Linked DNA regions of Schizosaccharomyces pombe. The protein of the gene in region 1 binds, or shares a complex with, the protein of each later gene. Each region holds a gene or a part of one and is shown on either strand. Other genes may lie near its edges. A codon is read from its position in the direction of its gene.

Region 1 (3,924 bases):
ACTGATAATTTCTTCCAAATGATGAATATTATAGTTGGAAACTCCAATTTTGTTTATCCTTCCTTCTTTTTGATGCTGCAATAGTGCTCGCCAAGACTCAATACGGCGTACGGGCCACTTTGGTGAATGTATTAGCACGACGTCTAACTTTGGACGACCTGTTCTGCGAAGAGACTGTTCGACCGCTTTCCAGGTACGTTCAAATCCTTGTAAGGAGTCAGGAATCTTAGTTATTAAGGTGATATCTTCACGTTTAATATTCACATTTTGATGGCAGAAATCTTGAATGGCTTGTTCACATTCTTTTTCATTTCGATATGTAATTGCTGAATCAATTACGCGAATACCAAGCGAGAGTGCCTCAATTACTTGCTGGTAGCAATCCTTAAGTTGATATACACCAAAGCAAAGTTGTTCCTTTTCAAAATTGGTTTGAGAAGGAGAAAATGGTTTCATTAACGTAAGTTGAGGTAGATGAGAGAGCTCAATGTATAGACAAAAATATTTTCTAAATCCCTAAACCTTTAAGTAGGAGATTAAAGGAAATTTTTTATATATTTAGGATAATTGTAAAGAATTATTCAATGGTTATATAGCTAGGCCAGACAAGTTCATCCTCAATAATACGTTTAACTTTTTCCGATACAAATTTCTCGACTTTAGCAACATTTTTTAGCAGCTGTTTATTAGATTCTCCAATAATACTTTCCACTGTTAAATCTCGAATAACACTTGATGCATGCTCTCCAGTTCCGTGCAGCAATGTATCAACGAAGCATAGATGCGTCCGCTTTCCCATTTTAGCCAAAACAGCAATGGCATCGATGGAAATCCTAATAAATGAAAGTTTGAATGGAAGAACTGCAAATTCAGAGTTCGGGTAATTCATCGATAGAACCGCTTCCAGGCTTAGATTTGCGTCTCCGTCATAAGATACGTGTGCAGTAACTTGGAAATCGTTAGAACGATCTCTTTCTTGATGATTATCCATTGGAGTACTTGGGCGACTTTCAGGAATTGGGCTTGTGAGTCCACTTGCAGATAGAATCCCGGGTGAATTAAATGCGGGATTAAAATATGCTAGTCTTGAAAATGGATGTTCAGCAGCGTAAGGTGGAAGATCCGTAAGCACTGGTGAAACATTATTGCGGGAGCATTGATCACCCTCTAGTTCTTGGTTAGCTAATTCGAAAGCTTCATTTTCATAAAATTGGGGATCAGGATCGCCGATTTCTTGAATAGTAATCTGAGGTGAGACTTTGCCGAAATGGAAGTCAACAACCTTTAAATGCTTTATATAAGATGGTAGCGACAAATTCGAAACTTGTCCTTCGAGAAGATGTAAAACTTTTGCTTCTAATTCTGAGTCTAACTTTGACCAATCAAAGTCAATAGACATTGTTCTGCAATTGTAAAAAAAAAATACGAACTCTTGAATCTCTCAATGACGATTGTAGCAAGTTTTCAAAATTTAAGTAATTTCTTCGTCAACTTGGTTAATGAAATAATATTTAAACCGGTTCTCTAAATTTTATACGAAGACGGCATGAATTTGATACTTTAAACAAAATCCTCCAGCAATTTTAATGTCCTTTCCTTCAATGTTCTTTTTTACTCATCGAGAATTGCAAGTGAATTTTTAAGATATCTATTTATCTTAAATATTACCTTCTGTAGGTACCAAAATCTTTTCTCCTAGTATTGTCAGTAGAGTTAGGTGGTATTCCCAGATTACCTTCTAACAAAGCCTACGCGGTTTAAAAAAGGTTAAAAAACAAATTTGTAAATTAATAAACCTTTTAGTTTATTACTATCGTAATTTGTATAAACATTTAATTTTTTGGAACCACCAGTCATGTGCTTCAGTCTTCTTCTACCTAAGTTCTTGTTGCTTGCTGTTATTTTCACCTTCTGCTAGTAAAACGTTTTCAACGTTTATCTGGAATTTGTGGTATTTCTTCATTTCTATAACAATTAATATTCAATTCATTTAATTATTTGAAGTTAGAGTTTAAACATTCAACTATTACACTCAACGCGTTTGTTGACAAAAGTTACGCGCTTCATTGCATCTTTGTTATAATTTAACATTCACTCTTTCATCTTCGAATTAGTACTTTAAAACGATTTAACTGAAAATGTCGCAAACAATTAACTCTGAACTCAATGAAAATGCTACTTCACAGTGTAAAGAAGATTTGAAAGTTTCCCTAAGCGAAAGTGATTTACGTGACTCACAGGGTCAGTTAGGAATAGAAAACCCTCCTAAATGCAATAACAGTGGCAATCACTCAGATAACCTAGGTTTTATCGAGCAGTCAGAAACAGTACATCCAGAGAATGAGAAGGCTTTGACGCCGGACCTGCGAGATACAAAAATACATACTTCTTTACCAATTACTACACCTTTTTCAAAGAAAAGGGCTCGAGAAGCCAAAAATATACTTCTTAAGCCGTTCAAAAGCCCCTTAAGACAAACTGCCAGTCCTCAAGTTGCAGACACTAATCTAAAACCATCGTTAGCTGTAACAAATCTTAACTCTGATGAAACAAACACTTCTTCAGAACCTGTTACTTCTCCCTTAAGAACAACGCCTAATTCAATAAAACGGCAAAAACGACTTTTCAAGTCACCTATCTCTAATTGCCTTAATCCAAAGTCCGACCCTGAAATCACACAGTTGCTTTCTCGTCGTTTAAAACTTGAAAAAGAAGTCAGAAATTTACAAGAGCAGCTCATAACCGCCGAAACTGCACGAAAGGTTGAAGCCAAAAATGAAGATAAAGACTTGCAAACGTTGATACAGAAATGGAAAAATGCTGCTCAGCAAGCCGCTGAAGTACTTTTTAAACCAATGGCTGAACGTATTCGTTTGGCTGGAGGTGTTACTCAGTCCTTTCGTATTGAAGAAGGTGAAAATAAAGGGCAAATTCAGGAAGTACGAACTGAATTTACAATGAGTATGTTTCTAAATCAGTTTGGTGTTCCTGTTCATTTGATGTCTTTTGATGAAGAAAATGGTGATTGGAAATCGTAAAGGACTCCTTACTATTGTTAAAAAAATTTTCGTTCGTACTAGTTAGAAAACCTTTAGTACGAACTTAAATATGTTTAGCTAGCTTACACCAAAATCAAGGGTATACTAATTGAACGTACAGAGGTACCTTAATCGTTTACATACAAATTGCGCCGAGCTGGTATCGAAATTCTTTACATGTAACAATGAATCGTTCCAGGCTGAGTTTATGACTTTAATTTATATAATTATTAGCATTATACAATAACATGTCTCATTAATTTGAAATTTCTTGATTTTGAACCTTCTGGTTCTAAATTTTTTCTGGAGATATTTAACATTCAAACAACAAAAGTCGATTAATTGGCTGACAGACAACAAATATAGATCAACCAATTGAAAGATGAAAAACAAAATTTATTCAAAGCATGATTTAATCACCGACGAACCCTAACATACATATATTTTTTATTCTGCATCCATCGAGCAACAAAATTTTAAATTAGAACGCAAAAAAATCGAAGATACAATTTTTATTAAGCGCGGTTTTGTCTACGGATGATTCGCTCACGTCGTTCTTGAAGTCGATGCTGTTGATGGCGTCTCATTAAAACCAGTCCGACAACTACCACAATAAGCGTGACACACGCAGTCTCCAAAAACCTTCCATCAATGTAATCATAAGTGAAACGAATATCATTATAGGATTCACCCATCTCTTCAGTATTAGGCGAGGGCAAGGACTCAGACGTTTCTTGAGGGTCAGGTTGTTGTGGTGTACGATCTACTTGTAGTGTTGGTGGTTCTGGGGGAAGTTGTGAGTCCGGACCTGCCGGGCTTAGTATGTCAAAAATATTTATAATAAAATATTGCACAAGCTTCAAAAATTTGTAAGTGACTTTTCCAA
Region 2 (3,532 bases), 440 kb from region 1:
TTGATGGGATATACGGAAATCCCTTTTACCTCGTTATTATCATATCTGAGTACACCAGACAAAATGCAACATGGGGTTGGTACATTGCAGAACAACTTGCCGTTTAAAAATCATAACTCACTAGTTTCCTCTTTGGAAGCTAATCAGTGTTTTCAATGTAAAGGAATTAATTAAAAAATGTTAGTGGAGTTACTAGAATTCACTCCTCTCTCCTTCATTGATGATGTGATCAACATTACGAACCAACTGTTATATAAAGGTGTAAATGGTGTGGATAAAGCCTTTTCACAAACGCGGTTTGCTAAAAAAGCGCCACAGGAAATAGAAGAAGGACTACACAAGTTCGAGGTTCTCTTTGAAAGTGTGGTGGATCGTTACTATGATGGTTTCGAGGTGTATACACTTCGAAACATTTTTAGTTATCCACCAGAGCTAAAAGGCTACATGCGTACGTTTGGAAAGGATGTAGACTATTCAATCACAACAGAGCAAGACGCCGCCATGGATCAAGCAATTCAAGAGGCTGCAGAAAAACTCGTAGTAAAGATGCAACTACGTCGTGACCTTCGCATGCGTCTCAGCAGGAAAAGAGAAAAAAAAACAGAAATAGAAAAGCATTTGGAAAGAATTTCTTTTCTCAACAAAGTACCCGAAAATTGGCAAGTTACTTTACCAGAAACTACCGATTTCCTTCTTGATCAACTTGGTAATCTGCAGCATGCCGTTAAAAGAGTAGTTGAAGCCTCTCCCACTGTACACTCACGAGAGGTGGATGAAAGAATTACCTACTTAGAAAAAGGTTACGAACGATTATCTAATCCCATCGACCAGCAAAAGGATTTTTGGTCACATCACTTGTCAAAACTAGAATCGACAGCCAATACTGAAACTGCAAATAACATTCATAAGTTGCTATTGTCATCTGAAAAAGACGTCGGACATACTGACGAGCCTTAATACTAATCAACTAGCTAAAGTCTTGAGATGTTCTAACAATTGTGATCGTTTACGTAAACTTTCATAATAAATATATAAGAATTGGCGTTGGATCTCTAGCGAAAGCAAAGTAATGCTTAATAAAGAAAACTTGGATTGTCTCTGTCACTTTTTCCGTTACATTTTTATTTGTTTTGTTTAACTTCTCTTTTTTCCTAAATAACTGAATGGATAATAATTATTCTGACCCATTAACTCCAAATCTGTCAAACAATTCGACACTTGTACATTTTTCATGCTCTGCCACTTTGCCAATCATTCCCAAAGCAATATCCCGTATTTCATTATAGGTATGGAGTAGATCGATATGTTTTTGTACAGTTTGCTTAGCATCTCGATTTCTAAATCATTTGTCAACATTAGATAAAACGAGACAAGCTTGATGATGACTTGAATAGATTTGATGGAACGGCAATACATTGCTTTTCCCAAAATGAACCTGAACGCGCGTAAAGGCGCATAACTCATATTTTCTACCATTTCTAGCATCACTTTACCACACTTACTTTAGCTTAGCTAAAGCGTCTTGTAAACTACTTTCCAATTGCTCCTTCTGCTGTTCAAGCAAATGGACGCGTGACTCAAGTTGAGACTGCAGTAATTCATCAGTATTTTGTGAATGAACAATGGTACCGTTGGCTTACCTTTTCCATACGATTTAAACAGTTCTTTCTTAATGAAGCAATGATGTGTGAAATTTACTAGGAAGGTATCTGTTTTTGAACACCTAGTAGAAATTAAGTTGTTGAGGAAGGCAGGAGCCTACCGATTTGTTCAATTGAAAACAATGTCTATTGTTCTTGTAAGAGAGAATTTAGATTAGTGATGAAAGACAAGTAAATTGTTGAATCACGAACAATGGCTTATTTCAATATAATGAACTTCGCTAATTTGTATAAGAAAGTATAAGGATCACATCGGTTTTCGTATGCCCATGTACAAATTGCCTTCTTGCATGTATTTAAAGAATTGCTTACATTAGCATTTCCTGATTTAAAAATTGTTAATAAACATTTAAATTTTCCCATCTGTTTGAAGTGTATACTTAAGAAGTTTCAAATTCTGAACTTGTCTTAATATTTTGTCTCTTATTGGATAAAGCACGATTTGATTCCAAGCATGTTATTTCCTAGAGTTGTGCCGTTTCAATCTTTAAGGACAGCATTCCAAAAGAAAACCTTTTTACCAGTATCTTCAGCTGGTAACGTTTTCACTCCACGTTTCCAATTGCAAGCAATTCGCAGCATATGGATCCGATCGGAGGAGACACCGAACGAAAACGCTTTGAAGTTCCTGCCAGGGCTAGATATCTTGCCTCCAACTATCGGAAGCTGTGAATTCATGAGAGGACAAGGAACTGTGAATTCTCCATTGGCACAGAAACTATTTGATATAGATGGAGTTGATAGCATTTTTTTTGGAAAGGACTTTATTACTGTTTCCAAGGGAGCAGGAACTGAATGGGCTCAAATGAAGCCAGAAGTGTTTAGTGTAATTATGGAGCATTTAAGTAATGGAAGCCCAGTACTCTCTGAAGAGCCTCTAAAGGGGGCTAGCGATACTCAAATATTAGAAAGCGACAGTCAAATTGTTGCAATGATTAAAGAACTGATCGAGACTAGCATTCGTCCATCTATCCAAGAAGACGGTGGTGATGTGGAATTTAGAGGGTTTGATGAGAAGACAGGTACCGTTTCTCTTAAACTTCGAGGTGCATGTCGAACCTGTTCGTCATCAGCTGTGACACTAAAAAATGGAATTCAGCAAATGCTGAAGCATTACATTCCGGAAGTGGAAAATGTTGTACAAGTTTTAGATCCAGAAGAGGAGGTTGCAATTGCCGAGTTTGAAAAATTTGAACAGCGCATTAACGGAAACAAACAGAAAGCTGATAACAAGTAACTTTTTCCATTCAACATAGGGAATTTGGTTCATTTAAAAGACTTTGGTGATAGAAATTAATAATTGACGAACAAAACGCTATTTATGAGTTTTAAGAAAAAACAGCAAATAACAATGAATATTTACACTGTATTCGATAAAAAACACATACTACTATATAAGACGATTTGTTTAATCATATAATGTTACTTTCTTGGTTCATTTTCGACTGCAAATTTTATGTACGAATAATGAAGATGTGTATCATATAAACTACAGGTTTCATCAACACCTGTATTATTCAGAGATATTTAAATGTTTTAATAATAGCGAGGGTACATATTTATGAAATAAATAAGTAAAAATTTTGAAATACTGTTGGAATGTTTCGTTGATGTCCCTGTACGCAGATGACTATTTTCGAAATTTGAAAAGGAGAATTGATACACAGAACGGAGTTGAGTTAATGTTAGCCTTTGGCTCTCTTTTGCTTAAAAAACGATACTCGAAAAATTGACTAGTTAGAAAAGGTGGTAATGCATTCGTATATTTTCAATTAAGCTCTAGGTTATTAAATAGGTATACATAAGCGAATTATGTTTGGAGTTGGGAGATTGTATCAGCGTTACGAAATATTCGTCAATCATTTCATCTT

What was found.
Region 2: the proteins of sfr1 (region 1) and swi5 are in contact, whole or in part, in a crystal structure (PDB 3VIQ), measured with the Schizosaccharomyces pombe proteins. Residues at the interface, in NP_595668.1 of Schizosaccharomyces pombe: Leu182 (codon at 2,682), Leu183 (codon at 2,685), Arg185 (codon at 2,691), Arg186 (codon at 2,694), Leu189 (codon at 2,703), Glu190 (codon at 2,706), Glu192 (codon at 2,712), Val193 (codon at 2,715), Leu196 (codon at 2,724), Gln197 (codon at 2,727), Gln199 (codon at 2,733), Leu200 (codon at 2,736), Thr202 (codon at 2,742), Ala203 (codon at 2,745), Thr205 (codon at 2,751), Ala206 (codon at 2,754), Arg207 (codon at 2,757), Val209 (codon at 2,763), Glu210 (codon at 2,766), Glu214 (codon at 2,778), Asp215 (codon at 2,781), Leu218 (codon at 2,790), Gln219 (codon at 2,793), Leu221 (codon at 2,799), Ile222 (codon at 2,802), Lys224 (codon at 2,808), Trp225 (codon at 2,811), Lys226 (codon at 2,814), Ala228 (codon at 2,820), Ala229 (codon at 2,823); in NP_595453.1 of Schizosaccharomyces pombe: Met1 (codon at 1,649), Lys3 (codon at 1,643), Leu6 (codon at 1,582), Glu7 (codon at 1,579), Val10 (codon at 1,570), Leu13 (codon at 1,561), Glu14 (codon at 1,558), Gln16 (codon at 1,552), Lys17 (codon at 1,549), Leu20 (codon at 1,540), Glu21 (codon at 1,537), Ser23 (codon at 1,531), Leu24 (codon at 1,528), Ala27 (codon at 1,519), Leu28 (codon at 1,516), Lys30 (codon at 1,510), Leu31 (codon at 1,507), Lys32 (codon at 1,504), Asn33 (codon at 1,336), Ala36 (codon at 1,327), Lys37 (codon at 1,324), Thr39 (codon at 1,318), Val40 (codon at 1,315), Lys42 (codon at 1,309), His43 (codon at 1,306), Leu46 (codon at 1,297), Leu47 (codon at 1,294), Thr49 (codon at 1,288), Tyr50 (codon at 1,285), Glu52 (codon at 1,279).

Annotation. Positions count from the first base shown.
Region 1 is NC_003423.3:1,578,550-1,582,473, forward strand, and holds sfr1 (DNA recombination mediator Sfr1), read left to right. Parts: upstream 1-1,906; 5' UTR 1,907-2,138; coding exon 2,139-3,038; 3' UTR 3,039-3,331; downstream 3,332-3,924. Other genes in the region: SPOM_SPBC28F2.05C (xylose and arabinose reductase), read right to left, coding at 1-456; ERMES complex subunit, membrane tether and lipid transfer protein Mdm12, read right to left, coding at 578-1,399; hrd3 (HRD ubiquitin ligase complex subunit), read right to left, coding at 3,554-3,924. UniProt on the Schizosaccharomyces pombe protein: Involved in DNA recombination repair and meiotic chromosome segregation.
Region 2 is NC_003423.3:1,136,173-1,139,704, reverse strand, and holds swi5 (protein Swi5), read right to left. Parts: upstream 1,799-3,532; 5' UTR 1,650-1,798; coding exon 1,641-1,649; exon of another isoform or gene 1,589-1,640; coding exon 1,503-1,588; exon of another isoform or gene 1,338-1,502; coding exon 1,175-1,337; 3' UTR 958-1,174; downstream 1-957. Other genes in the region: MIS12/MIND complex Mis12, read left to right, coding at 178-957; NifU-like protein nfu1, read left to right, coding at 2,116-2,898. UniProt on the Schizosaccharomyces pombe protein: Required for normal mating-type switching. Also involved in the rhp51-dependent recombination DNA repair pathway.